7 linked regions of the Macaca fascicularis genome follow. The protein of the gene in region 1 purifies or fractionates together with the protein of each later gene. This does not show direct contact. Links are inferred from orthologs where the notes say so. Each region holds a gene or a part of one and is shown in the gene's direction. Other genes may lie near its edges. The genes, in order: SNRPA1, U2AF2, DDX46, CDC40, SF3A2, SNRNP200 and SF3B5.

Region 1 (4,348 bases):
TAAAAAAAAAAAAAAAATTCTAATCAAACACCATTAAGAGTGAAAAGGCAAGCCACAGCGTGTGTTCATATCCCTAATATATAAAGAAATTCCAAGAATCAATAAGAAAAAAGGCAGACAACTCCATAAGGAAAAAAATGAGCCAAGGACTCGAAAGAACACAAAGGAAGCTATCAGAATGGGCACCATACACATGAGAAAGTTCTCAGCTTCATTAGTTATTAGAGAAAAGCAAAGCAGTAGTGCAATACCACCACACACCCATCAGAATAGCTAAAGTTATAGACTTAAAATGCAAACAAGGCTGAAGCTGGAAGCCATGAAAACCCTTACACACCGCTGGAGTGTGTATATTATTTCAGCCTCTTAGTATAACTGTTGGGCATTACTTATTGATGATAGATATCATACCTTATGTCCCAGCAATTCCACTCCAGGAAAAACTCATGCAAATGTGCATCAGATCCACGTACCAGAAAATTCATAGCAGCATTACTCAGAATAGCCCTAAACAGAAAACAACTTTGATGTCCATCAACAGCAGAATAAGTAATTTATGGTATAATATATACGATGGAACTCTCTTCAGCAGCGAAAGCAAACAAACCATCTCTGTAGGCAACCTGGATGGACTCCAGACATAATATAGACTCAAAGAAACTAGGCCAAAAAAAGCATACTGCATGATTCTATTTATATCAAAAGCAAGCAAAACGAATCTGTAGTGTTGAGTTCGCGGTTGCCTTTGGGAAAGAGGAAGGCTTTCAGAATAGTGGTTTTTTGGATCTCGGTGTCGGCTAAGCAGTTGTGTTCACTCTGGTCATTAATCACGCTGTAAATTCATCATATGCACACTTTTCTGTATATCATACTTCATATGAATATTCAGAAGTCTAAAGGCCACAAGCTTAACCGCAAACCCTACCATGCCCTAGGCCAGGTTGGACTTGCGGAGCTGTGGGGTTGTCCCGGCGACCTGCCCCAGGCGGGCCACCTAGCCCGGGATCTCACACTGTAACCCGGAGCCAAGGCCCAGGCCCAGGACGGGTACCTGAACTCCTGGACCCTTCACTGAACCCCACGGGTCCCCGCGCCGGCTGGTGGAGGGAGAGCAGTCACAGCTTCCCGTCCCACCTCAAGGTGCGCTAATGCATGAAAAAGTTCCCCTCGGATGTTTCCACATTCGCCTTAACTTTTAAACACCAACGTCTGGAATCATAGGTTCTCCAGACTCCAAACACACCCCAGGAAAGAACCCAGAACCAGACACAGCCCCTGCGCGCCCGGCAAGACTTCCGGCAAGAACGACCCCGAAGGCGTGGCTCTTCGATTGCTTCGGCCTGGCGGGCGAGCTGCGCGCGCACTCGGCGGCTGCGATTGGTGCTGCCTGGCGGTGGGGCGCGGGGCACGCTGGGACGTCTCGCTGGCGGGAGGCCACGGGCTTTCCACGGCGCGAGGAGACGGGAGGCAGCAGGATGGTCAAGCTGACGGCGGAGCTGATCGAGCAGGCGGCGCAGTACACCAACGCGGTGCGCGACCGGGAGCTGGACCTCCGAGGTGAGTCCGAGGGCGTGGGCGGCCAGCCCCCGGGCGGCACCGCGTCGCCTTATTATCCGCGCTCTGCCGCGTGCACCGAAGGCCGGAGCTTGGCCCGCGGGCCGGTTGTCTGGGCTCCGACCGGGCTGCGCAGGGAACGCGGGGCCTGATTCTTGCCGTTGTTGCCAAATGAGCATCCCGTTAGGCTCTTGGAGCCTTCTCTTACCGCCGTGCCTCTTGACAGGCACGAGTGACTTCATTACTTCCTGGTGCATACTCGTGGGGCTCTATTAGGCCTTGCTTGGCTGTTTCGCAGTTGGCTCTGTTTGAGGGCCCGGAAGAGCGGCTCGTTAATGTTTGTAACGCTAGTGCAGGGCGAGTGATTGGTTCTTAATACTTGCCGCCAGACGATATTTTGAGCGTAGATGGGATATGTGTTCGTTGTTCCTAATGTGAGGGAGTAAACCAAGTCCCCGAACAACAGCGATTGTTTCCCCTAGTATTTTCTACTTAGTAGCTTTGTCTGGCGTTTCCCCTTTATGAAGACGTTTTAAAAATTGAACTGTGTGACCCAGGTTTGCACCGCCCTGTGCTGTGTGTAAGTTGTGGAAGCGCTCGCAATTATTCAGATTCCTGTACTATTTCAACCTTAGCAAGACTTGGTAAGATATTGGGAGGGCAGCTAGCTAGTTGGCATTTCAGGAGACGACTTTAAAAAGGATGTGAAGAGCAACTTCTCTGGGGATAAGACCATGCAGCCGTAGCCTGAGATTTGTTCCCACGGGGACCTATGGCTTTGGAGCAGCATCGCTGCGGGATCTGCTTAGATTTCTTGCTGACCTTTGGGAAATCCCGTTGTGGTGTGTTGTGTGTTGTGTTCTGCTTAGATTTCTTGCTGACCTTTGGGAAATCCCGTTGTGGTGTGTTATGTGTTGTGTTCTGCTTAGATTTCTTGCTGACCTTTGGGAAATCCCGTTGTGTTGTGTTGTGTTGTGTTGTGTTGTGATGTGATGGAGTCTCGCTCTTTCACCCCAGCTGGCGTGCAGTGGTGTGGTCTCGCCTCACTGCAACCTCCACCTCCCCGGTTCAAGTGATTCCTGTGCCTCAAGCCTCCCGAGTTGTTGGGATTACAGGCGTGAGCCACCACGCCTGGCTGATTTTTGTATTTTTAGTAGAGACGGGGTTTCGCCATGTTGGTCAGGCTAGTCTCGAATTCCTGACCTCAGGTGATCCGCCTCCGCCGGCCTCCCAGAGTGCTGGGATTAAGACGTGAACCACTGCGCTCGGCCCCCAGTATTTTTATTTTGTTGAAATTAAGTTTGTTAGAGAAAGGTTCAGTTCAAGAGCAACTCACCACTTTTTTTTTTTTTTTTTTTTTTTTGAGACGGAGTTTCGCTGTTGTTGCCCAGGCTAGAGTGCAATGGCGCGATGTCAGCTCACTGCAACCTCTGCCTCCCGGGTTCAAGCGATTCTCCTGCCTCAACCTCCCGAGTAGCTGGGATTACAGGCCTGCGCCATCACGCCCAGCTAATTTTGTATTTTTAGTAAAGACAGGGTTTCTCCATGTTGGTCAGGGTGGTCTCGAACTCCCGACCTCAGGTGATCCGTCCGCCGCGGTCTCCCAAAGTGCTGGGATTACAGGCTTGAGCCATTGCGCCCGGCCCAACTCACCACTTTTGATGATCTCTGCCATTTCTCTTTATGGAGTACGTGCAATATTGAGAATACGTATTTTGATGCAATACGTGTAGTATAGCTCTGAATTGTGCCCTTTAACTTTGGGTGAATTCTTTTTTAGTAGACCTTGCTTCTTCAGAATATTTCTTTTCTTATAGTGCCTAACACAGTAATTATGCTCAAATTGGACAAATTAACATTTGAGTGTTCACAGGTTTATTACTCTATGTAAACCATTGAGTTCTTCAACTCTAAATTGTAGCTGGGGGAGGGGAGGGAGAACTGTCATATCTTGAGGCTGTTCTGATGGGTTCTAAGAATCTGGCCCGTGGAGATGCAAGAGTGGAGAACTGTTATCCACAATGTTTGAACGCTGTTTGGGCACTGAGACTAAGCAGCTCAAAGTGTAAATTCCTGTTGTGCGGATTCCGCTTAACTAGCCCAAATGACTTAGAACAGTGTGAGGCACCTTGTAAATGTTCTTATAAATGTTAGCTACCTATATCACCCATTATTATTGTTCTTGTCCTTGTTGTCATTAGATTGTAAGCTTCATGGCACTGGGTACTTGAGACTCGTTCAGCATTTTCTCTCTAGTATCTTGTACAGTGGCAAGGCATGTATGACATGGCATAGGTGCTAGGTAATGCTTCCTGAATAAATCAAAGCCTGGAATCAGATACTATGAAATACTGCTAATGTTTTAAGGGGCTGTTTAGTTATATTAATACCTCTTGTGTGTTTTTTTTCCTCCATTTTACAGGGTATAAAATTCCCGTCATTGAAAATCTAGGTGCTACATTAGACCAGTTTGATGCTATTGATTTTTCTGACAATGAGATCAGGAAACTGGATGGTTTTCCTTTGTTGAGAAGACTGAAAACATTGTTAGTGAACAACAACAGAATATGGTAAGTGCCTATAGGGGAAAGTAATTTTTTCCCCCTAGGGTAAATGTTGCAGTGTTCCCTGAAGAAGTTGTAGCACGTACTACCGGTTAAACCTACATGGTTTTTTAAATTTAATTTTTATATTTTTAAAAAATATTTTTTCCATAATGGAAGCCACGTTCAATACATGTTTTTTCTTAAAATGAGAAATGAACTTCACTTTTCCTATAGAGATCTAGAGATTA
Region 2 (3,730 bases), on another chromosome or scaffold:
ATTTGTTTCTGTTTTTTTCCCTTCTGGGTGCATATTTTTCTGAGTGTTGGTGGTTTTGGAATTGTGATGCTTTTCCAAACATTCAAATTGCATCACAAAAACATAAGACAAAACGCTGTGGGTGAGGCTAAAGTTTAACATCCTCCCTCAGTGCCTTTTCCTCCTCTTGTCCCCAGGGATGATCACTCCAGGAGATGCGTGTTAACATGAGCACCTTAACGTGTGCATCTTTTTTGTGTGAGTGCTTCGTGGCTAGTTGAGAAATCTGGGTGTCTTTGAATTAAGGAAATGGTATGGCGGTGCTCATGAACACCCTCAATGCTCATGCTTTATTCTCCATCTTAAAGGGCCGGTCGTCCTTCTTCAGGGGTTGAAGGGTCTGGTGAGAGCAGAGGTCTCTGTGGTTTTAGCAGCAAGGCTCTGTTTCTAGTGGCTACGTCAGGCAAATGCAGGGTTGAGGGAGCCGGCTGGAGGCTGGCAGAGATGCATGCCCCTACCCTACAGTACAGCCTCTCCAGCGCTTGGCTTTGAAGGGAGTGAGGCCGGGAGAATCAAGTGGTTTGGGATTCAAGTCTGGATGGGGCAAGCTCCTCCCCTGTCCTGCTGAAGGAGAGGAGGGCCTCTTTCCCCTTCAGTCTGCGGATTCTCTGAGGCCCTTCCCTTCCCCTGGGGAAGGGTGCTTGCTTCTGCATTATTCACTGGCTTGGGAAGGGATGGGTTGAGTTTCCCTGCTTCCTGGGGACATCAGATCCTGCCTGGCACCTGACCCCCAGGCCTGATGGTGGGGCTGTGGGTGCCAGCTGGTTGCAGAGGTCTTTCCTGAGGGGTCGCTGGGTCCCTTCAGGAAAACATCATTGGGTCTCTTGATTCCCCAGCCTCTAGCCCTGCCCCTCTCAGGGACGACCCTGGGGTCAGGCCCCTCAGCCCTCGAGGGGACCAGGAGCCAGCCTCCTCTGTCTTCTCTGGCTCCCAGCTCCTCCTGAGCATCCTCAGGTATCTCACACCCCGGGGGCATTTCCAGGCCCCGTCCCCCTGGTCCCCTCGTGGTCCCTGGACTCGCTTGTGGACCCAGGAGGCCTGTTAATTCCCTTCCTCCATTGGATCCCTTCCCTTTGGGGGTGGCCTCCCTGGGGCTGGGGACATAGCCACCAGCGCGCAGGGTGGGCTGGGTCCGCAGCCTTACTCCGCTCATCCCTTGCCCCTCCTCTCACCCTTGCCCAGAGAGGGACAAGGAGAACCGGCATAGGAAGCGCAGCCACAGCCGCTCTCGAAGCCGGGACCGCAAACGCCGGAGCCGGAGCCGTGACCGGCGCAACCGGGACCAGCGGAGCGCCTCCCGGGACAGGCGGCGACGAAGGTACTAGGACTCAGGGATCCTCCTGGGGCAGCCTGGGAGTCGGGGGGTTGGTGTTGGCCGTCCTGTGGGTGGCCTGTGCGTGTCTGTCTGGGCCCGGGCCCTGTGTGGCTCGTTTGTTCTTCGTATGCATCTGGGGGAGGGATCTACTGCTTGGTCTGTCTTGAATTCCGATTTTTTTCCCCTCTTTCTGGGGTTTCTTTCATTTTCTCTTGGTGGTTGCTGGTGGGTTGCTGGGGGCAGTAGGTTCTTTATCTGGAGCCTGGGAATTGATTCTGTGTTTTCCTTCACAAGGGGCTGTTCTCTGTCTCTGACTCTGAGGGCCTGTTCCTTCTTTTCGACTCTCTGTGGCTCTCTGTGGGACTCTCTTCGAGGGGGTTGGTCTCTGCCTCCAGTTTCTTTCTTCCCTGCCTCCCAGGAGAAGGGAGCTCTTGGGACTGAGGCAGTATCCACAGCCTGGGCTTACTTTCTGGCCCAGGGGTGTTGGTTTCCACCGCCTCTTCCCTTCTAGGCTTCCCTCTCTGTTCTCTGCCCCCTTAGGTGAGGAAGGGCAGGATAGGCGGAAGTCCTCCTGCCTCCTCCCAGCTCAGTTTCTCCAGCTAGAGACCGGTCCTTCTTGGCCCCTGGCCCCTGGCCCCTTTCTCCTTTCCTCACTTCCTCTTTCCTGGGGGTTGGGAGTGTTTGGGGGGAAATAGCAGGGCCGAGGGGGGCCTGCTTGCTGCTTGTTCACCTCGGCCCTGCTCCCGCCCTGGGGCTCAGTGCCCTTGGGGGGGTGTGGCATGTGGGGAAGACGAGGGTCCCCAGTCACCCCTCCCCATACCTTTCCCTCCCACCCCCCAGCAAACCTTTGACCAGAGGCGCTAAAGAGGAGCACGGTGGACTGATGTGAGCTTCTCTTCCTGCCCCTTCCTCCCTGATGTCCACTCCCTTCACCTTCCTCACGCCCGTGCACCCTGTCCCGCCCGTTTCCAGCCCTGGCCCAAGCACTGGGAAGAGTCCACTTACCTTGAAACCAGCACCCCTCCCCCAGGCCCTGCCCCAGACCCTCTCCTTCCCTGGAGAGAGTGGAGCTTACATGGTTGGGGGGAGGGTGAAAGGGTGCCTGGGAGGGGGCTTGCAGGCCCCCTGTTAGTCAGACTGAGGTTGCCCTGCCCCGCTCTCCCCTCCCACCTCCCCCAGTCGTTCCCCCCGCCATGAGAAGAAGAAGAAGGTCCGTAAATACTGGGACGTGCCACCTCCGGGCTTTGAGCACATCACCCCAATGCAGTACAAGGCCATGCAAGGTAGGGCCCTGACCGGGCTGCTCCCAGAGCGAGAGGGTGCAGGGGCTGGGATTCTCCGTCAGTCATTCCCCTGCGTGTGTGCGTGGAGGGGGTCGAGGACACAGGTGGAGGGTTGCACACCCTTGGGAGGTCTGGTCTCTGTGCTTTTGAGGCCTCCCTCTGGACGCCATTAGGAAGTGAGGCTTCTTAGGAGTAGCAGTTACAGGGTGGGGGTCCCGAGGTGGAAAGAGGATTCTGGAAGGTGCTAGGGCCGAGAGCCTGTAGGAGCTTTTTGCCGAGGAGGGGAACTCCCAGCGTGTGGTGGGGGGAGGTCACTGAACACTCCCCTGATGGGGTTTTATCCTGCTTTTACCCCCTTTGAAGCTGCGGGTCAGATTCCAGCCACTGCTCTTCTCCCCACCATGACCCCTGACGGTCTGGCTGTGACCCCAACGCCGGTGCCCGTGGTTGGGAGCCAGATGACTAGACAAGCCCGGCGCCTCTACGTGGGCAACATCCCCTTTGGCATCACTGAGGTACTGCCCTCCCCCTGCCCTCCCCTCTCCCTTGTCCCCTACCCCATTCCTCCCCTTCCCTCCATTCCCTTTCCCCAACCTGCACGGGTCAGACTCTGCTCCTGCAAGCCCCCCCGGCCCCCTCCCAGACGGACCGATGGAGTTGAGCCAGCCAGGGGCCGGGCTGGGGGTGGCCCTCCCTCCCTCCTCTTCCCTCTCCCGTCTCCCCTCCCCCCAACCTCCTCCAGCAACCCAGGGATCAAGCACACACATAATGTACCCACGTGTTGTACCTACGTGTCGGAGAGAGACAGAGAGGGAGACTTGGACACACACACACACACACACAGACGCACGCTGCCCCTCAGTTTTTTTCTGACACGCCTCTCCTTCTCTGCCGCCTGTCCCCCATCCTCTCCCCCACGTCCCTCCCATGGTCGCTGTTCTTTTATTTTTGATCGCCCCTGACCTCCCCCTTCCCCACCACTCCTTTTCCCTCTCCCCTCTCCCCAACCCCTTCCTGTGGCACCCCCTGAGAATCCCGAGATCAAAGAGTTGTTTCCATTTCTCTTTAAAGTGAAATATTGTGGGGCTGAGAT
Region 3 (3,730 bases), on another chromosome or scaffold:
TAATGTTGTGGTTCGTGGCTAGTGGAGGTAGAGGATTTAAATTAGATATGTTGCTATGACTTCATAGCCATAGCCTTGATTCTTTCCTTCCTGTCGTGAAACTGTTTCTGCCTCTCTTTCTGTCTCTGTCTCTGTCTCTCTCTCGGGACAGAAAAGTTACTTATTTCTAATACGGGGGGAAATTTTCTAATTTATTATAAATCTTTCCCTCATTTGTGTTTTTTAATATACAAAATGATAAAAATATAGCTCTCTACATTGCAGACCCAGTGCTCCTTTTGTTCTTAGACATTTCAGTCTTTAGTTTTCTTTGATTAAGCTCTTTTTCTCTTCTCAGCGTGCAATGTGGTGCCTATCTGTACTTTCCTACTCACTGGCATTGTCTATTGGCTCCAGATTCTACCCAGCCTACCCTTGATGGCTCTCTGATCTCTGCCACTTCTAAACTTCTAGTCCATATTTCCATTGACCTCATTTATATTTTCAACTGGATGTCCAATGAGCACCTCAACTACAGCAATTTTAGAATTAAATTTCACCCAGTATCACTATCCAAAAAACACTTGTTTTTCCTCCTGGAATCAATATATTCTTTTATTACTTCTACCTTTTTTCACTTGCCAGCCAGCTCTTAATATCTTGTTTCTCTTTTCCACTGTTCACATCCCATCAGAAAAAATATCTTGTCCATTCTACCTCAAAAATGTGCTCTTGTGATGGTATAAATACAATATTGTGAGAACACTAAAGAAGAAAACACTTAACTGCCTCGAAGAGTCAGGAAAAGCTTCCTAAAAATGGTATTTAAAAGTGAATTTAGTAAACTACTTCCTATTCATCCTGTTGTAATGTCTTTACAAGTTTGTTTTGCTAATCTGTATGCTTTTAAAGAGCATGAATTTGTTCTTTATATATTAAATCTCTCACAGTATGTGAGAGGCAAGTGCTTAATTTTTGTGAAATTAATAACTGTGAATGAATGTCTGCAGCCTGCCTCATCTAGTCAGCTATTTTGCCGTGTTCTTTCACACATTTTTCCAACCAGGCTACACTTCTCTTACTCTTCAGCAATTAAGCATGCTTGTCTTAACTCTGTACCACTACATATGTAATTCTCCTTGCAAAATACTCTTCCTGGTATCTTTCCTCCCTCCAAGTGGCTAGTCCTCCTTTCATTTTAAAGATTTTGTTCGTACGTCACCCTTCTGAAACATTTGCAGACTTCAGTGTAAATAATAAATGTCTAATAAATACTTGCTAAATGAATAAACCAAGGAAGTTATATTTCCCTGTAGCCTTCTCTTACTATCTTCTGGACAAATCGCTAATAGTCTTTTTATTCCACTCTTTTTAGTTACCATACTAGGAACTCTTAACACATAATATGACCTCAGTGGTTACATTTGAAACTCTGAAAGTAATCAAAATCATAAGCAGCCATTATATAATGTGGGTAATGTTCCACCAGGCATTAAATGGCCATCTTGGCAGGCAGTACAATGTTTCTAAAAGTCACCTACAGTGTTTCTTCCTGGACCTCCATGATATGGGTAAACACAGTGTAATTTTAGTAATGTGAATAAGATGCTTTCCACTCAATCACCAGGTGCCAATGAACTGGCTGTGCAGAAAGCAAAGGCAGAAATCACCAGGCTCATAAAAGAAGAGCTGATCCGGCTGGTGAGTGAAAACCTTAAAGTTTCATTTGTTTTGTTTTAATAAGTGTTTTATTGAAATATAAATACAGACAAGTACGCAAATCATAAACATATAGTTTGATGAATTTTCACAAAGTAATAAGCATACCAGTGTAATCACTACCCAGATCAAGAAATAAAAAACATTACTAATATCCCAGAAGTCTTCTCCGTGTCCATTCTTATCACTATTCATCTCCCCGCAACAAAACTGTACCTTGAATTTTTTTTTTTTTTTTTTTTTGAGACGGAGTCTTGCCCTGTCATCTGAGCTGAAGTGCAATGGCGCGATCTCGGCTCACTGCAACCTCCGCCTCACCCTCCTAAGTAGCTGGGATTACAGGTGCCTGCCACCACACCTGGCTAATATTTTGTATTTTTAGTAGAGACGGGGTTTCACTATGTTGGCAAGGCTGGTCTCGAACTCCTGACCTCATGATTCACCTGCCTCGGCCTCCCAGAGTGCTGGGATTACAGGCGTGAGCCACCGTGCCCAGCCCCATATTGTGAATTTTAAAATCATAGATTAGTTTTCCTTATTTTTGAACTCCACATAAGTGGAATCACGTGTTTGCACCTTTTGCATCTAGTTTCCTTCAATCAACATTTTGAGGAGATCGGTCCGTGTTATTGCATGTAGCAATAATTCACTCATTTTCATGGCCATATAATATTTATATGAATGTATAACAGTTGATTTATATTTATATATTGGATTTGAGGGCTATTCCTTTTTTGTTTTTATGAATAACACTTCTGTGAACATTATTCCATGTGCATTTGGAATATATTAGCATGATTTTTTCTTGGGTATATACCTTGGAGTAGAATTGTTAATTATAGGCTAGGTATTGCCAGATAGTTTTCCAAAGAGGTTACATCAATTCACACTTAATCAAGCAGTGTATGAAAATTACAGTTGTTCTACATCTTTGCCAACACATGGTGTTGTCAGTGTCTTTAAACTTAAACAATGACTTAATTTGATTTTGGAAAAAGCCCTTTACAGACTGCCTTTGCAGTGGAGGTAGATATGTCCTTGTGTCTTTAGTGCCGGTTGCAGCTTATGAACACTCCCTACAGTGTGTACATTTCCTTTGAAAGGAAACGTCTTTTCTCTAAGTGTACTTCTGAGAGCTTTTCTAAAACTCCCCTCAGAGAGCATTCCTTTTTTTGGCGGGGGGGTTAGAAGTTTAATGAAAAGAGGGTTCAGAAAACAAGAGGGAAAAAGTAAAACAGCTGTTCAATCACGTGCTTAAGACTATTTCAACAAGGAGTGATAGAAAAGAATCTTGTGCCCATAGATGCTACCACCATTAAGTTGATTTCAAAACATAGTTGTTAAGGAATAGTTAAGTGAACAGAGAAATCATTAGTTATTGAATAGTTTTTCCTTTCTCAGTGCAGTAATATTAACATTTAAAATTTTAAATAACCAATAGTTTTACAAGTTAGCAAAAGAAATGATCTTAAATATTTCCCTTTTGGGTTTGTTTGGTTGGTTGGTTGGTTTTTTGTTGTTGTTGTTTGTTTTGCTTTCTCTGATGACATATCTTTTATTTCCTATTACAGCAAAATTCATACCAACCAACAAATAAAGGAAGATACAAAGTCTTATAGACATCCGGAAAAAAGATTTTTACCTCTGCTGGTCTATGATAGATGTGGCAGTTGCAGTCTGCAGTTTACAATGTATTGTAAATTAAGATTTTTAAAAATTCTGTCTTGCTGATTTTTTTTAAATACAAGAAACTAGTATTTGGTAAAGAAATCTGTCCGTAAGTACCCCCACAATCAATCAAACTATATTTAAAGCCGGCCTGTTTTCAGAGTGTGATGTCCTTTAATGTAAACTTAAATATCAATATTTTAAATGTCCGGATAATATTCTAGAGGTTTAAAAAATGGAAATATTTGAACTTTCTATTGAAGACAATAAAGTACACAAGTCGTTAAGGGGCTATTCACTTTATCCTGTACTTTCAATGAAATTGTGATCATTTCCTAAGAAAAGGTAAAATTCACTATCTTAT
Region 4 (4,275 bases), on another chromosome or scaffold:
GAAAGAGGCACCGGGCGGACCGTGGGCGCGGGTGGGCAGGGAAGCCCGGGCGGTGGCACCTCAGGTGAGACCCGCAGTCTCTCCGGCGAAAGCAGCCCCGGGGCGGTCCCTGCAGCCGAACCCCGGGCGCGCCCGCCGCCGTCTCCCTCGGCACCCAGCCCGGCTGGCGGGTGGGCGGTGGGCGCTCGGGAAACCCGCGGATGGGGGTGGGGGCCGGGGCGGGGGAGGCGCGCCCATCCATCCCCGTCACCTATGCGGGCCACACACCCCTCGGTCTGCTCCGGCCGGTGAGGAAGAGTTCCTCTCCCAGCACCCCCTCCCCGAAAAAAGCAATTCCTCAGGGACTCGCGCTCACCGTGAAATCTTGGGGGCTCTCGCTTACCCCTTCTTCATGCTTCGGCAGCGGTCGCCGGTCCCCCTCGGCTCGCGGGACTCCACCTAGGGCTCCCAGGAGGGTCGGGCTCTGGGGCGGAACCCGCTCAGGACAGCGGCCGAGGCGCCAGGCCACTGGGAACGCCGCCTGGGGCGCCCACCGGCCGCCGGACCCACCGTGTGCTCGACGCGCGAGTGAACAACACCGCGAGCTGCCGCTCCCCCCGCCCCCTCCCCGCGCGAGACGCTCCACAACCGGACGCAGGGACCCGCGCCAGAAGCAGGGGGGACCGCGGGACTCTCTCCGGCTATGGTCCCATCCTTGCCCCCTGCCCCAGGAGCTATTCCCGGCCAGTCAGAGGTCTCAAAACTTCAGATTCTCACTTTCCTCTTCACCCTCGAGTGCCCAGGTGCAGTCGAGGTGGGAAACCCAGCCTCCGCCCACTCCTCCATCGGTGGGGCCGAAGCTCGCTCTTCCCCCCTTTCCTGAGGTTCTGTGGTATTGCCCAATCCTCAGTTTGGGGGAGGGGGACGGAGAGAACAGTGCTTGGCTCGGGAATGAGGGAAGATGACAGCCAATTGAATGGAACATCCATTCGGGGGCGGGGTCAAGGAGGGACCCGCCCCCGTCCCGCCCCCTCGTTCCAAACTACACTTCCCATTGTGCCCTCTGGTGCTTCCTGCCGCGCTGCACGCTGGGAGTGCAGGACCGCGAGGCCTCAAGGTATTTTGGAACTCGTATTCTTTAGTCAACTAGGTCCTGAAAGTTATAAGCTATTATAATTCTCTCTTTTTCCCTAGATAAACTTTTTTAAGCTCTCATTTCGACAGTAGTTATTCTAATAATAATTAGCTTGTTGTTTTAAAATGTAAGAAATTATTTCTTAGCAAAGAAAGTTAATGATGGGTTCCATGGCAATCTGTCAGGACCTGGGAGCCTCCTCTTCTTCCGCCCTGACAGGGTCCCCGCAGAAGATTTGTTGCCGTCATGTCGGCTGCGATTGCAGCTCTGGCCGCTTCCTACGGTTCGGGTTCAGGGTCCGAATCTGACTCGGACAGTGAGAGCAGTCGATGTCCGCTGCCAGCCGCCGACTCCCTCATGCACTTGACTAAATCGCCTTCAGCCAAGCCGTCTCTAGCAGTGGCAGTGGACTCGGCTCCGGAGGTGGCAGTTAAGGTAAGCACCTTTGCTACTGATGCGGTGTGGGAATTGTTGGCTTCAGCTCTAAAACTGCCAGCCGCTTGTTAGGTCCCGGCTTACCTCATTGCTCAGAGATAAGTTGCTAACGTTTGAATTTCTTCTCCTTCCCACATGCATCCTCGGGAGAAGCAGAATTGGAAGTTCGGAATAGCCCTCCGATGCTCTCTGCCCTTACCTCCCGCCATCAGAAAGCAAGTGGAAAGAGGGGGTGAAATTTGAATTTGTGAATTAGGGACATAGCCTGTAAAGTGCAGATGTAATCTCGGAACATAAATAAAATTAGATCAGGACTTCCCAAACTAGAGTATTGTACCTTCACTTGAAGTGAGCAGTGGCCTCGATTTGTTTTATTTTTGAAAAACTGGGTTCTAATCCTGGCACCACCACTTATGTGAACTTGGGCAAGTTATGCAGCCTCCTCTCTTTCCTCACCTGTACAAGCAGAGATCATTTTCAAAACACCTGTCTACATGAGAAGATGAGTGTGAAAATTGAGTGAAATTACACAAATAAAGCATATAGCACAGAGCCTGGTAACTAGTGAGAGTGCAGTAAATGTTTTATGATTATGTATGTTAATACAGTGAGAAAAAGGCCTTGGATTTGAGAAACAGCTGCATGATCTCAATGGAGGAAGCTGATTCAGGCAAGAGTTTCCAGGCAAAGGTGACAGGCAAGCCTGAGAAGGCAAAGAGCTTAGTGTGTTTGAAGAACTGAGGAAAAGCTGATGTGTCTAGAGCCTGATGAGAGCATCTACCAATTGATAGTGTAGGCCCAGTAGAGCCCGAGGTAGGTGATCAGCTCAAGATGTGAAGATGGGAGGCGGTGTCCAAAAATTCCTTTGTATCATGTCCCTAAGTCTAGTTTAATGACTTAAGAAGTGTTTTACAGATTTTTAACAAGCTGTCTGTGAATTTTACTTTTTAAAAATGGGCATCTGGCATGAAAGAATGCTTAGAATCCTAACTTCCTATCAAAACAAAACTTTCCAAACTTACGCCCCTCCAGTAACCTCCTGAGTCTTCTCCTTTCACAGCTCAGCTTTTTGGAGCTCTCTTTTTGTCTTCATCTCATTTTCTCCTCAACCCGATGCAGTCTGGCCCTACCCTCTTGGGAAACTGTCTGTGAGTGATGTCCCAGGCCTTGCAGTTGTCAAGTTCAGCCATCTGACTTAAATGTCTGCATCAAATGACACTGTTCATTAGTTCCTCTTTCTTGAAACTTTCTCTCCGTTTCGCTTCCATGGGGCTCTACTCAGCATTCTGTTCCAATTATTTTACTCTCCCTTTTCAATACTGGTGTTTCCCAGGACTCTGCTCTTGGTCCTCTTTGCATTCCACATATTCTTCCATACCTTCAACCTCAGTCTGTGCTGCCCCTAGCTCAAGGTGAACACCGTGAAATGGTTAGCACAGGCTCTGGAATTAAGACTGTAATTCAAATCCTGCCTCCAGCACTTACCCACCTGGGGACCTTGGATAAGTTGCTTAAATGCTCAGCACCTAATTTTTACTGATCTGTAAAGTAGGAATAACAGTAGTACCGATCTAACAGAATTATAAGAATTGCCATAAAAGATGTAAAGCCCTTTTAACAGTGCCACATGCTTGCTATCCTTTTATTTCCAGTTCTATCCTCCTTGCTAGCTTACAACCTTGAGAGGTATATAAAAATCTCCCACTGTAATTGTACATTTGTTTCTTGCAGGTTGGCACTCAGCCACCTCCAGTTCAATGTGTTGAAAAATTATTTTCTTTCCCTCAAAATCCATTTCTGTTTTCCCCATTTTGATCTATGATCCCACGATCCACCCACTAGTTCAAGCCAAGAACAAAGGAGGTATCCTTTTCTCTTCCTTCTGCCTCAGCCCCTGAAGCTAGTCATTCAATTGATTCTAACATTTCTGTTTCATTAATTTATCTCATATCAACTCCTTCCTCACTATTTTCACTGGTGCAGGCTTCATATCTTCCTTATTTCTCCCAGGAGTTATTCTTTTCTTTCTCTTTCAGCCTCTTCTTTTGGATAGTGGGTCCTGTCCACTTTAACTCAATGATATTCATCAAATCTCTCTCTTCTGCTGCCACTGCTTAGTTCAGATTCTCATCATTTCTCTTCAGACAGTTGTAGCTTTCTAACTGATATTTCTACTTCTTCCTTTCTTGTCTCCCAGTGTTATACCCCATTCTTTTCTCCACAGGGCACCTAGAATGATCTTTGTAAATTCCACTTGCGTCCTATCACTTCCCTGCCCAAAGACACCATATTGTCCAGTGGGTAATTTCTAAGTTTTTTTGGTAGCATGTGAGGGCTGCTATTCTCCCATGCTGAACTCTTTACAAAGCCCTGAAAGCCAAATTTTCTTTCTTCCTCTGAAGATTTTGCCCACGCTAGTCTTTCTGCCTGGAAATCCCTTGCCTAGTGCCTCCTTCCCCCATTCCAAACACTATGGTCCTTCAGTCTCACTGCGCGTTTCCTCCTATTCTACCTTAGCCCCTTTATCATATCTTAACTATAGCACTTAGCACATTGCCGTGACTTGTTCATCTTTTTCTTTGCCCTGGACTGTGAGACCCTGGGGTCCAGAGACGTATCCGTTCGTTTGTGTCTCCGGTGCCTAGTACACAAGATTACGGAAGTATATTTGGTAAGAGAATAGAATGAAAAAGAAAGTCTTGTAAAAGTATGCACATTAAGAATCA
Region 5 (4,500 bases), on another chromosome or scaffold:
ACTTCTGGCCTCCAGAACTGTATAGAATGTTTCTGATATCTAAGCCACCCGACCTGTGAAATTTTGACAGCCACTCTGGCAAACCAGCAGGGACTCCATCTTTCCCCGCAGAAGGGAATCTCTTAAGACCCAGGAGAACACCCCCCTCTCACTCCCCCTACCCCCACCTAATGCTAGACCCATGCTAGTTGTGGCAGTTGGGAAACGCTTTGGGTGGGGCTGGCCCAGCCTCTCTGTGAGTACAGCCTGGGCCCACAGGGAAGAAAGAGCAGAATCTGGAAGGAACCCAAGCTTAAGTGGACTTGGCAGGTGGGCGGGATGGTGCCCGCCAGGAGAACCTGACCTTGAGCTGCCCGTGGACAATGCATTCTTATGTCTGGGGAGGGTGGCGCCAGGCTGGGGACATAGAGGAGGCCTTGAGCGCCTGGGGAGGGGACAGTTGCAGCGCTGCTGGTGCCCCGGGCTGCGGGAGGCGCCGCTGGCTTCCCTAGCCCCACTCACTGATAGAGAAGGCGCCGGGCTCTTCCCGGATGACTCTGCACCGCTCCAGCAGCAGGGCTCCGACGGGCTGGAGGAGACACGGGCGCCGGGACGGAGCAGTGAGCACCCGGCCTCCGCGGGGCCCCAGCCTGGGACCCGCCCGCGCGCCCTCGACGCCCCTACCTCGGCCTCGTCTGTCCGGAAGTAGAAGAGGAAATTCACCACCAGCTTCACCAGCCGCCGCTTCAGCACTGCGGGCACAGCGCGCGCTCAGGGGCGCAGGCAGCCCCCGCCCGGACCCCGGCCTCCCGCACCCGGCGCCCCGACCCGGAATCCGGCCTCCGGCACCCGCGCCCGGACTGCGGCCCCAGCCTTCCGCCCCTGGCACTGTCCCGGTCTCCCGGGTCCCGCTCACCGCTGCCCTTCTTGGGGCCCCTCATGCCCAGCTCGGCCGCCATCTCGGCCGGCTGCCGGGACAGCGCCTGCAGCTCCTTCTCGTTGTACCGCATGGCTTCGCGGGGAACGGGAACCTGGACCGCGCCCTCCCGGCCGCCGTCCCCGTTCACGCCGGGGCCGGCGCCAAAAAGGTCTCAGGGCGCAGACACGGAAGCACCGCCGGGGCTAGTGCGCCTGCGCACTTTGGGCCGGCCATGCCGCCAGTCTCCAGTGCGTGGCGCTGGCGACCTGGGGCGGGGGGCGGGGGGGCGGTGCACGAGTTGGTAGCGGAGACGGACAGTCGTTACATAACCATTAAATTGAAATAAACCAGACAAAGGTGGAACAGCATCAAGGCACCCCCGCGATGGCTGGCACCCCTTCCTAGAGCGGCCAGGCGCAGGCGGAGGGAGCGATAACGTCTCCCGAAGAATGTCAGCCGCCCCTCGCGAAAGTTAGCCCAGCGCGGCCGCAGCGAACCAAGGGTTCGTTGGGGGCGTTGTGCGCACGCGCGGTTTGCCTTCCAGGCCGGGCGTTCAGCCCCGCCCCCTCCAGCCCTTTCCCTCGCGCCTCCTGACCCTCTGACTTGCGCCGCTGGGCGGGCCGGGCATGCGCACACCAGAGGGCCCGCCCCATTTGCCCCGGAAGTGCTTTCTTTGACCGCGACGCGCGTGCGCCGAACGAAGTCGTGGCGGTGGCGGATCGAGGAGATAACGCGCCCTCAGGCTCTGGTGAGGAGTGGAGCCGGTTGAGGGTGGCGGCCGACTCGGACCGGGGGTTCCCTGGGGAAGAGCGGACGTAGGAGAGAGGAGCTTGCGACAGGCCGCAGGCCGAGGGGCGGGCGGCGGCGTCGCTCCCCTCCCTCCTCCCGTGAGCGTCCGGCCTTGTGCATCCTGTAGGTCCCGCGTTGGGCGGGCCCGGAGGGTCGGGCCCCCTCGGAACTCTATTTCCAAACTCCTGTTGGGAGGCCGCGCGCGGGGGCTCACGCCTGTAATCTCACCGCTCAGGGAGGGCTTGGCGGGAGGATCGCTTGAGGCCAGGAGTTCGAGACCAGGCTGGACAACACAGCGAGACCCCATCTCTACAAAAAAATTTTAAAAATTAGCCAGGAGTGGTGGTTGTACCTGTAGCCCCAGCTACTCGAGAGGATCGCTTGATCCCGGAATGTCGAGGCTGCAGTGAGCCATGATCGCAATTGCACTCCAGCCTGGGCAACAGAGCAAGACCCTGTTTCACAAAATGAAAAAGAAACAACTAAGACTCGTTGGGATCAGATCGGGATCGCGGCTGAAATGGTTTGGGCCTCCTTCCTTGTAGCCGAGAACGCTTCTGCATGCTAATCTATACCTGTGAGTTCACTGGGGCTCTGTGATGTAACTCCTGTAAGCGTCATTCCCCTTAAAACGGGAGTGACAGCTTCAACACCATGCCAAAGGGGACCAGAAAACGTTAGCTGGCCCCATTTTGCAGGTGCACATGGCTGTGACCGTTGTTCGTGTGTATCCTTGGAGAACACCAAACAGCCAGGGGGAGCTTTGGAAAAGAGGTTGTTTGCTGGGTTTAACGAGAGAACGGTGTTGCCACCAAAAACTAATTCCTTCCCGCTGGTCCAGCCCCAGGTCTCGGAGGCCACCTTTCCTCAATTCTTAAGTTCATTTCCCCTGGTCGTCGTCGGTTTTTTGTCTCTCTGTTTGTTTTGAGACAGTGTCTTGCTCTGTCACCCAGGATGGAGTGAGTGCAGTGGTGCCATCACAGCTTACTGCAGCCTCGAACTCCCATGCTCAAGCCGTCCTCCTGCCTCAACCTCCCAAGTCGCTGGGACCACAGGTGCTCACCACCATGCCCGGCTAATTTTTGTATTTTTTGTAGAGACGGAGTTTGGCCATGTTGCCCAGGCTGGTCTCGAACTCTTGACCTCAGGTGATCCTTCCCCCCCCCACCCCCCCACAGCCTCCCAAAGTGGTAGGATTACAGGCATTAGCCACTACACCCGGCTCTTTTTTCTATTTTTTTGTAGAGATGGGGTTTTTCCACTCTGTTCCCTGATCTTTACTTTAGTAAATAACATACTTCTTCCTGGATTTATCAATTTGTAGACATCATCTGCTGATTTCCTGTCACGGCTGTTGAGATTTTCTCCCTCCTATCCACCCACTGCACCTTCGCCTTCCATATCCTGAATGAGTTTCTGTCGTGAGCACAGTTGGTCATTGGTTGTATTTTTTAAATAAGATGCAAAATGTTGTTGGCTGCTCAGGGCCGGGCGCAGTGGCTCACGCCTATAATCCCAGCACTTTGGGAGGCCAAGGCAGGTGGATCACGAGGTCAGGAGATTGAGACCACCCTGGCTAACATGGTGAAACCCCGTCTCTACTAAAAATACAAAAATTCAGCCAGGTGTGGTGGCGGGCACCTGTAGTCCCAGCTACTCGGGAGGCTGAGGCAGGAGAATGGCGTGAACCCAGGAGGCGGAGCTTGCAGTGAGCTGAGATCACGCCACTGCACTCCAGCTTGGGAGACACAGCGAGATTCCATCTCAAAAAAATATATGTATATGGCCGGGCGCGGTGGCTCACGCCTGTAATCCCAGCACTTTGGGAGGCCGAGGCGGGCGGATCACAAGGTCAGGAGATCGAGACCACGGTGAAACCCCGTCTCTACTAAAAATACAAAAAATTAGCCGGGCGCGGTTTTGGGCGCCTGTAGTCCCAGCTACTCGGGAGGCTGAGGCAGGAGAATGGCGTGAACCCGGGAGGCGGAGCTTGCAGTGAGCCGAGATCGCACCACTGCACTCCAGCCTGGGCGACAGAGCGAGACTCCGTCTCAAAAAAAAAAAATATATATATATATATGTATATATGTATATATGTATATATATGTATATATGTGTATATATGTATATATATGTATATATATGTGTATATATGTATATATATACACACACACACACACATACACACATGTATATGTATATATATTTAGTTGGCTGCTAAAACAAGTAATGTGTTCAACTGGGCTTTTGTTGTAGCATTCTATTTTCCCTTAAAGCTAATTAACTTTGTTTTTACCATTAGCCTTTCTTTTCCCTACTGTTTGTTTATTTCCCCACAAAGCTCCAGCATCTCACACCTATCAGTTGTGTTTTGCACAGGTTTAAATGAATTGATCTCCCCCTCCCCACTGCCCTCCAAGACTCCCGTATCCTCCTCCTCCAAATGGGACTGATTGTGCTCTGCCTGGGTGGAGCTGGTGTCCCAAACCTTCCTGTCCTTGCTGCCCTGTGCTGACCTCTGTTCCCAGTGTGGCCATCTTTTCCTCTTCCTGCTGTCAGAGCAGAACTTCTGGGAGCTTTGGAAGAAATAGATGATTTTTTTCGGGGATGGGGGAAGTCTTTGATTGCCTGAAAATGAGTTTATTTACCCTCATAGTTAGAAGTTTGGTGGGGTATAAAAATCTAGATTGAAAATCCATATTTGGCCGGGCGCGGTGGCTCAAGCCTGTAATCCCAGCACTTTGGGAGGCCGAGATGGGCGGATCACAAGGTCAGGAGATCGAGACCATCCTGGCTAACACGGTGAAACCCCG
Region 6 (3,730 bases), on another chromosome or scaffold:
AGTCCATCAGCAGTAGTTATGCCTTGGTGTTCCTGGGCTTTGGGTTCTGTTCTATGATGACTTGTTTTCTCCTGGATAGTCCCAGAGCAAGGCACCAGCAGCGTGGAGCTATCTCATAGCAATGTGTTACCTCTCATTCATGTTAGACCTTGTTCCTAGCCCGCCTTGCTGTGAGTTCTGAAACGTAACACAGGGTAAGCCACGGCCTGCCCATGAGGTAGTGAACCTGCTTCACCCAGAGACCCCTGTCCTCAGCCTTCTCTCCCCTTTTCTGCTCAGGGGCTATCCAGGTGGTGGTGGCTTCTCGGAGTCTCTGCTGGGGCATGAACGTGGCTGCCCACCTGGTAATCATCATGGACACCCAGTACTACAATGGCAAGATCCACGCGTGAGTACAGCTGGTGGTCTGTGTTAGCCCAGATCTTCCTAAAATGAGTGTGAATCTGCAGACACACAGAAAGCAAGCTAGGATGAAGGAAAGGTGTTAGGGAAGTTAACAGCTGAGATGCCACCAGAGCCAAGTATTTAGGAGTTTTGTGTCTCAATACCTAGGCTCACATTTGTTTTTTAGTCATTGTGCTTCCACATTCCGCAGTTGGGAGAGGTAGGCAGTTAGCGCCAGGAGGAATGTTTGACATTAGGTCATTAACCTCAAACATCTTGTAGATTAGGAAAAGCGACTTGGTCAAGGTCATACACCTATATAGTGACAAGAAGCTAGAAGAGTGCTGAGCGCGGTGGCTCATGCCTGTAATCCCAGCACTTTGGGAGGCTGAGGCAGGCGGATTGACAAGAAGCTAGAAGAGTGCTGAGCGCGGTGGCTCATGCCTGTAATCCCAGCACTTTGGGAGGCTGAGGCAGGCGGATCACTTGAGGTCAGGAGTTCCAGACCAGCCTGGCCAACACGGTGAAACCCCGTCTCTACTAAAAGTATAAAAATTAGCTGAGCGTGGTGGCACGTGCTTGTGCTTCCAGCTACTCAGGAGGCTGAGGCAGGAGAATCAGTTGAACCTGGGAGGCAGAGGTTGCAGTGAGCCAAGATTGTGCCATTGCATTCTAGCCTGGGCAACAGAGTGAGATTCCATCTCAAAAAAAAAAAAAGGCCAGGTGTGGTGACACGCGCCTGTAATCCCAGCTACTTGGGAGGCTGAGCAGGAGAATCGCTTGAACCCGGGAGGGGGAGGTTGCAGTGAGCCGAGCTCGCGCCACTGCACTCCAGTCTGAGCAACAGAGCGAGACTTCATCTCAAAAAAAAAAAAAAAAAAGTTAGAAGAGTCAATCATTCTCAGAAAAACATCTGCTTTTTTTTTTTTTTTTTTTTTTTTTTTTTTGAGACAATCTTGTTCTGTCATTTAGGCTGGAATGCAGTGGTATGATCTCGGCCCACTACAGCCTCTGCCTCCCAGGCTCAAGCAATCATCCTGCCTCAGTCTCCCAAGTAGCTGGGACTACCAGCATGTGCTGCCACTCTCAGCTAACTTTTGCTTTTTTTTTTTTTTTTTTTTTTTTTGTATAGATGGGTTTTCACCGTGTTGCCCAGGCTGGTCTTGAACTCCTGAGCTCAAATGATTCACCCACCCAAAGTGCCGGGATTACAGGCGTGAGTTATGGTGCCTGGCCCAATGCTTAATAACTTTTTCCCGAAATGCGGATTAGTTTGAAGTGAATTTTATTTACGGGTTCATTTTTAATGTTTGAGGCTGCTTCTAGGTTGGGTTAAAGTCAGGTGACTTGATGACTCATGAAATGCACAGCTGTGAAGTTTGGAAAGTGCGGCGGTGCGCACCTGTGGTGGCTGAAGTGCGAGGATCCCTTGAGCCTAGGAGGTCAAGGCTGCAGTGAGCCGTGGCTGTGCCACTGCACTCCAGCATGGACAGTAGAGCAAGATGCTCTATCAAAAAACAAACAAACAAATAAATAATTTTTTTAATTAAAGGAGAAAAGTTTGGGAAGTTTGACTTACATATTTGATCCTCGAATAGGAAGTTATTTTGGTTTTGGCATTAGATAGTTTTGTAGCTTGGTTCATGGCACTTGAGCAGCAAATTCATGGCCCTTACACTGAATGCTAAAATGATGTAGAGGCCAGCCAGTGAAGCCAGTTCTAAGTGCAGAGATTCATAAACAGAGTCGTGCTGTGATTTGACCATGCCTCCCCGTATTTACATTTTACTGTTAATTGGCGAAGGGAGTCGGGCCTCCTGAGCGTGGTCTCCGTGTTGAGGCGGCTTTTCCTTCTTTCCCCGCATCTGTCACCAGCTATGTGGATTACCCCATCTATGACGTGCTTCAGATGGTGGGTCACGCCAACCGCCCTTTGCAGGATGATGAGGGACGCTGCGTCATCATGTGTCAGGGCTCCAAGAAGGTCAGTCCTGGATTCATGCAGCCTCTTGGATCCAGAGCCTCAGAATGGATTCTTTAATCCTTTTGATAGACGTCTTCAGTAATTTTAGTCTCTTAACTTCTGTCTCTCTTATTTACACAATTCTTTTGTAACGAGCCTGCCACCCGTTTGGAATTTTGCTGCCTTTTGCTTTTGCTGCTGCCGTTGGCTCCACGTGTTGAGGGCTTTGCCCGCTAGTTGGTTCCCTCCTTCCTCACTGGGCTGCCCGCTGCTCTGCCCTTGTGACTTGCTGTGCCTCTGTTCCCACTGCGTATTGTCGCCAGTGACGCACTTTCTAAACCTGTAGCTTCTTCCATTTTGGTATTAGTTAGGTCTTGCACGGGGACCATGCCCTGTTGATTTGCCCTTGGCCCTTTGTGACCATGTTGTCACTAATTCTTGATTAATGCTGCTGCTTCTCCAACCCACAGGATTTCTTCAAGAAGTTCTTATATGAGCCATTGCCAGTGGAGTCTCATCTGGACCACTGTATGCATGACCACTTCAATGCTGAGATCGTCACCAAGACCATTGAGAACAAGCAGGACGCTGTGGACTACCTCACCTGGACCTTTCTGTACCGCCGCATGACACAGAACCCCAATTACTACAACCTGCAGGGTCAGTGGGCTTGGGAGCACACGTGATTCTTTGGTGCTTCCCACAGCCTTTGCTGGGCGTTTTCTCAAGGCTCCCCACTCACCTCTCACCTCCATAGGCATCTCCCATCGTCACTTGTCCGACCACTTGTCAGAGCTGGTGGAGCAGACCCTGAGTGACCTGGAGCAGTCCAAGTGCATCAGCATCGAGGACGAGATGGATGTGGCACCTCTGAACCTGGGCATGATCGCTGCCTACTATTACATCAACTACACCACCATTGGTGAGGCCCGGCACGGCCCGGGTCCTGTCTGTAGGAGCCTTCTCACACAGGGGTCAGGAGCCCACTGGGATGAGAGGTCTGCCCGTGTCCGTCAGCGGGATGACACTGCAGGGGAGAGCAGGGCAGCCCAGGCAGTTCTGCTCCTTCTCCGCTTGCTTTCGGCTTCTCTCAAATGTCCTTTTTCTGTCAGAGCTCTTCAGCATGTCCCTCAATGCCAAGACCAAGGTGCGAGGGCTCATCGAGATCATCTCCAATGCGGCAGAGTACGAGAACATTCCCATCCGGCACCATGAAGACAACCTGCTGAGGCAGGTGAGGACGGCAGCTTCAGGAGAACGTCCTGGGAACAACGAACTCTGCCTGTGTGCCCAGAGCACATGGCGTCCCTGCCACCAACACCCCCTTATGCATCCCCCGACCCCCACCATATGTCCTCCCCTCCATACCTCCCTCACACTCAT
Region 7 (2,879 bases), on another chromosome or scaffold:
TAAGGAAGTTATTAAACCAAACGGTAGGATATAAAGCAATAACAAGGAAGAGATGTATAACCTGCAAAGAGGAAGGAGAGTTTACATCTGTCTGGAGCAGCCAGAGAAAACTCTAAGGAGATGCATTTGAGCTGCCTTTTTGGGAGATGTATTCACCAAGGGAACAGACATTCCACGTAGAGGGAACAGCTTGTACAAGAAAATGGGTATGGGCACAACAGGTAACACGGAGAAGTACAGTTGTCCCTCAGTATCCGTGAGTGATTTGTTCCATGACTCCCATGGATACCAAAACTAGAGGATGCTCAAGTCCCTGATATAAAATGGCTTGTATTTGCACATATGCACATTCTCCTGTATAGTTTGTCTCCAGATTATTTAACAATACCTAATACAATGTAAATGCTATGTAAATAGTTGTTATACTGTATTGTTTAGGGAATAATAACCTTAAAAAGTCTACACTTCAGTACAGACTGACTTTTTCCCCAAATATTTTCAATCGGGTCGGTTGAATCCACAAAACCCACTGAATGGAAGGGCCAAGTAGGGTGCAGTGAGGCCTTGGAGGAAGGATATCAAAATAAGTGGCTAGAGAGGAAGGAGGAGCTTGAGGTGGAAGCCGGAATGTGTGGGAATTGGTGCTGTACTTGCTCACCAAGCACCCTGGTTAGAGCTGAAATAACTCTTTTATGCCACAGACTCCTAAGAGACATAGCTGGGACCAGAACTTGTGCCTGCCGACTTCTGGGAAATCCATCCCTGGTTGTGAAGGGATGGCTGTGCTACCATGATAGCTTTGGAAAACAGGGAGAGTTTATTTTCGGGGCTGCTTGTAGTCCAGTCCTACTTGGGTTTCCCATTTCCCATCAGCCCCAAGCCACCCACGGATGCTCCCCACCTCCCAGACATCACCCTCCACTAGGTCCCCAGATCACTTTTAAAACGCGACCAGGGGCCTGGCGCAGTGGCTCACGCCTGTAATCCCAGCATTTTGGAAGTCCGAGGAGGGAGGATCACGAAATCAGGAGTTCGAGATCAGCCAGGCAAAGACAGTGAAACCCCATCTCTACTAAAAATACAAAAAAAAAAAAAAAAAAAAAAAAAAAAAAATTGGCCTGGCGTGGTGGTGTGCGCCTGTAATCCCAGCTACTGGAGAGGCTGAGGCAGGAGAATCGCGTGAACCCAGGAGGCGTTAAGTTGCAGTGAATCGAGATCGCGCCATTACACTGCAGTCCCGGTAACAGTGCGAGACTCTGTCTCAAACAACAAAACGAGACCAGGAGTTCCAGAAGCCTACGAGCACGAACTCCCAAGACCACAAGTCCCAGCATGCAAGGCTCCCTGTTGGAAAAGGGCTTCCCATAGCCACCAAGTGGACCATCATGCAAAGCTCTCTGACGGGGCGGGGCTCTCTACAGGGGCGACACACTTGTGGCGTCGCCTCGGCAACTCCAATTCCGTGACAGAATGTGCTTCCGCTTCCGCCTTTGAGCCCTATGAGCGAGACTTACGCTACTTAGTCGTCGTGACGCCATTCTTCTGCGACGGCGCGGGCCGGGAGCTTCCGCACGGTGGCCTCACTCCCGCGTGAAACGCCAGAGCGGCGATTTGTTGTCTGCGTCCTCTGTCCTGGGAACTAAGGGGAAAGCGGCGAGATGACGGACCGCTACACCATCCACAGCCAGCTGGAGCACCTGCAGTCCAAGTACATCGGCACGGGCCACGCCGACACCACCAAGTGGGAGTGGCTGGTGAACCAACACCGCGACTCGTACTGCTCCTACATGGGCCACTTCGACCTTCTCAACTACTTCGCCATTGCAGAGAATGAGAGCAAAGCGCGAGTCCGCTTCAATTTGATGGAGAAGATGCTTCAGCCTTGTGGACCGCCAGCCGACAAGCCCGAGGAGAACTGAGACTCTGCCTTACCACCACTGTGCGGGGCACCTCTCCCAGTGTTCCTCAGGTTGGCCAATCCCTTCGACTATTTCTGCCTCCAAAGGACCGGCTCTCCATGGCTCCTGCGTCTGGTACTTCCGCGTACAGAAGTGCTTGCCCGGGGAATCCCGCCTGACCTGCCTTCATGTGAACCCTTTGGAATAGCACTGGGAGACCAGCAGAACCCCTGAGAACTGTGTTGGTGAAGAGGGCCTAGAGCCGGCAAGCGTTTGAGAAGAGGGCGTGGCGCTGGAATGAGATGGGATTTGGCGTCTCATTTTTGGCTAATTGATTGTCATTGGCTTTTTCCATAAAGTTTAGAAATCATTCACTCTCTTGGTGTGAACTTCCTGTGTTAGGGTGGAGGGCTCCTGAAAGACCCGAGCGGGAAATGGGTCGGGGGAGGGAGTGCATGCCAGTGTCCATGATCAGGTACTTAAATCCACCCTGTCTACCATTATAATTAATTCCCCGACTGCCACTTCTCCCAAGAGCGTTATTTTCAGGCCCACAATGCCTTCAGTATTGAAGTTTGTGGTTATTGTATCCCATTTTCTTTTTCTCCCGTTTTAAAAGTCTTTGCAGTCTTTGCTGTCATTGTCCTCCTTAGCCTCTTTAAAATGCATCCTTTCTTTTTCTTGGGAATTTGTGGCCATGTCTCCAGAAATGACAAGCTGGCAAGTGAGTTCATCCTTTCTATATTCAACAAATATTTGTTGAGCTCTATGTGACAGGCATTTTCCCATGGTCTTGAGGCTTACATTATGCTGGTGGTGGAGAAAGGAGGTCAAACACTGTAGACGTAATAAGTAAATGTTAGAAGATGCTGCGGGGAGGGGAGAACAATGTACGTGGTGTGGGTGGGAGTAGTTGGTAGGGCCATAATCTTAAATATGATACACAAGTTACTGAGATGGTGACATTTGAGCAAAGACTTT

The links.
Region 2: the proteins of SNRPA1 (region 1) and U2AF2 fractionate together in Homo sapiens (co-fractionation; 3 studies listed by BioGRID, with this or other methods). This does not show direct contact. The link is inferred for Macaca fascicularis from reciprocal best matches to the Homo sapiens genes SNRPA1 and U2AF2.
Region 3: the proteins of SNRPA1 (region 1) and DDX46 purify together in Homo sapiens (affinity purification with mass spectrometry; 3 studies listed by BioGRID and IntAct, counting the BioPlex papers as one, with this or other methods). This does not show direct contact. The link is inferred for Macaca fascicularis from reciprocal best matches to the Homo sapiens genes SNRPA1 and DDX46.
Region 4: the proteins of SNRPA1 (region 1) and CDC40 purify together in Homo sapiens (affinity purification with mass spectrometry; 3 studies listed by BioGRID and IntAct, counting the BioPlex papers as one, with this or other methods). This does not show direct contact. The link is inferred for Macaca fascicularis from reciprocal best matches to the Homo sapiens genes SNRPA1 and CDC40.
Region 5: the proteins of SNRPA1 (region 1) and SF3A2 purify together in Homo sapiens (affinity purification with mass spectrometry; 8 studies listed by BioGRID and IntAct, counting the BioPlex papers as one, with this or other methods). This does not show direct contact. The link is inferred for Macaca fascicularis from reciprocal best matches to the Homo sapiens genes SNRPA1 and SF3A2.
Region 6: the proteins of SNRPA1 (region 1) and SNRNP200 fractionate together in Homo sapiens (co-fractionation; 3 studies listed by BioGRID). This does not show direct contact. The link is inferred for Macaca fascicularis from reciprocal best matches to the Homo sapiens genes SNRPA1 and SNRNP200.
Region 7: the proteins of SNRPA1 (region 1) and SF3B5 purify together in Homo sapiens (affinity purification with mass spectrometry; 5 studies listed by BioGRID and IntAct, counting the BioPlex papers as one, with this or other methods). This does not show direct contact. The link is inferred for Macaca fascicularis from reciprocal best matches to the Homo sapiens genes SNRPA1 and SF3B5.

What each region holds. Positions count from the first base shown.
Region 1 is NC_088381.1:86,346,086-86,350,433, reverse strand, and holds the start of SNRPA1 (U2 small nuclear ribonucleoprotein A'), read left to right. Parts: upstream 1-1,402; 5' UTR 1,403-1,475; coding exon 1,476-1,557; intron 1,558-3,976; coding exon 3,977-4,124; intron 4,125-4,348. UniProt on the Homo sapiens protein: Involved in pre-mRNA splicing as component of the spliceosome. Associated with sn-RNP U2, where it contributes to the binding of stem loop IV of U2 snRNA.
Region 2 is NC_088393.1:63,612,943-63,616,672, forward strand, and holds part of U2AF2 (splicing factor U2AF 65 kDa subunit), read left to right. Parts: intron 1-875; exon of another isoform or gene 876-993; intron 994-1,221; coding exon 1,222-1,357; intron 1,358-2,194; coding exon 2,195-2,239; intron 2,240-2,533; coding exon 2,534-2,637; intron 2,638-3,000; coding exon 3,001-3,152; intron 3,153-3,708; exon of another isoform or gene 3,709-3,730. UniProt on the Homo sapiens protein: Plays a role in pre-mRNA splicing and 3'-end processing. By recruiting PRPF19 and the PRP19C/Prp19 complex/NTC/Nineteen complex to the RNA polymerase II C-terminal domain (CTD), and thereby pre-mRNA, may couple transcription to splicing.
Region 3 is NC_088380.1:141,369,716-141,373,445, forward strand, and holds part of DDX46 (probable ATP-dependent RNA helicase DDX46), read left to right. Parts: intron 1-1,606; coding exon 1,607-1,680; intron 1,681-3,269; coding exon 3,270-3,317; 3' UTR 3,318-3,730. UniProt on the Homo sapiens protein: Component of the 17S U2 SnRNP complex of the spliceosome, a large ribonucleoprotein complex that removes introns from transcribed pre-mRNAs.
Region 4 is NC_088378.1:14,211,635-14,215,909, forward strand, and holds the start of CDC40 (pre-mRNA-processing factor 17), read left to right. Parts: upstream 1-1,342; 5' UTR 1,343-1,360; coding exon 1,361-1,549; intron 1,550-4,275. UniProt on the Homo sapiens protein: Required for pre-mRNA splicing as component of the activated spliceosome. Plays an important role in embryonic brain development; this function does not require proline isomerization.
Region 5 is NC_088393.1:2,892,736-2,897,235, forward strand, and holds the start of SF3A2 (splicing factor 3A subunit 2), read left to right. Parts: upstream 1-1,593; 5' UTR 1,594-2,264; intron 2,265-4,500. Other genes in the region: PLEKHJ1 (pleckstrin homology domain-containing family J member 1), read right to left, coding at 502-568, 664-731, 896-989. UniProt on the Homo sapiens protein: Component of the 17S U2 SnRNP complex of the spliceosome, a large ribonucleoprotein complex that removes introns from transcribed pre-mRNAs.
Region 6 is NC_088387.1:1,362,526-1,366,255, reverse strand, and holds part of SNRNP200 (U5 small nuclear ribonucleoprotein 200 kDa helicase), read left to right. Parts: intron 1-279; coding exon 280-388; intron 389-2,259; coding exon 2,260-2,368; intron 2,369-2,817; coding exon 2,818-3,007; intron 3,008-3,104; coding exon 3,105-3,269; intron 3,270-3,459; coding exon 3,460-3,581; intron 3,582-3,730. UniProt on the Homo sapiens protein: Catalyzes the ATP-dependent unwinding of U4/U6 RNA duplices, an essential step in the assembly of a catalytically active spliceosome. Plays a role in pre-mRNA splicing as a core component of precatalytic, catalytic and postcatalytic spliceosomal complexes.
Region 7 is NC_088378.1:48,298,801-48,301,679, reverse strand, and holds SF3B5 (splicing factor 3B subunit 5), read left to right. Parts: upstream 1-1,582; 5' UTR 1,583-1,658; coding exon 1,659-1,919; 3' UTR 1,920-2,268; downstream 2,269-2,879. UniProt on the Homo sapiens protein: Component of the 17S U2 SnRNP complex of the spliceosome, a large ribonucleoprotein complex that removes introns from transcribed pre-mRNAs.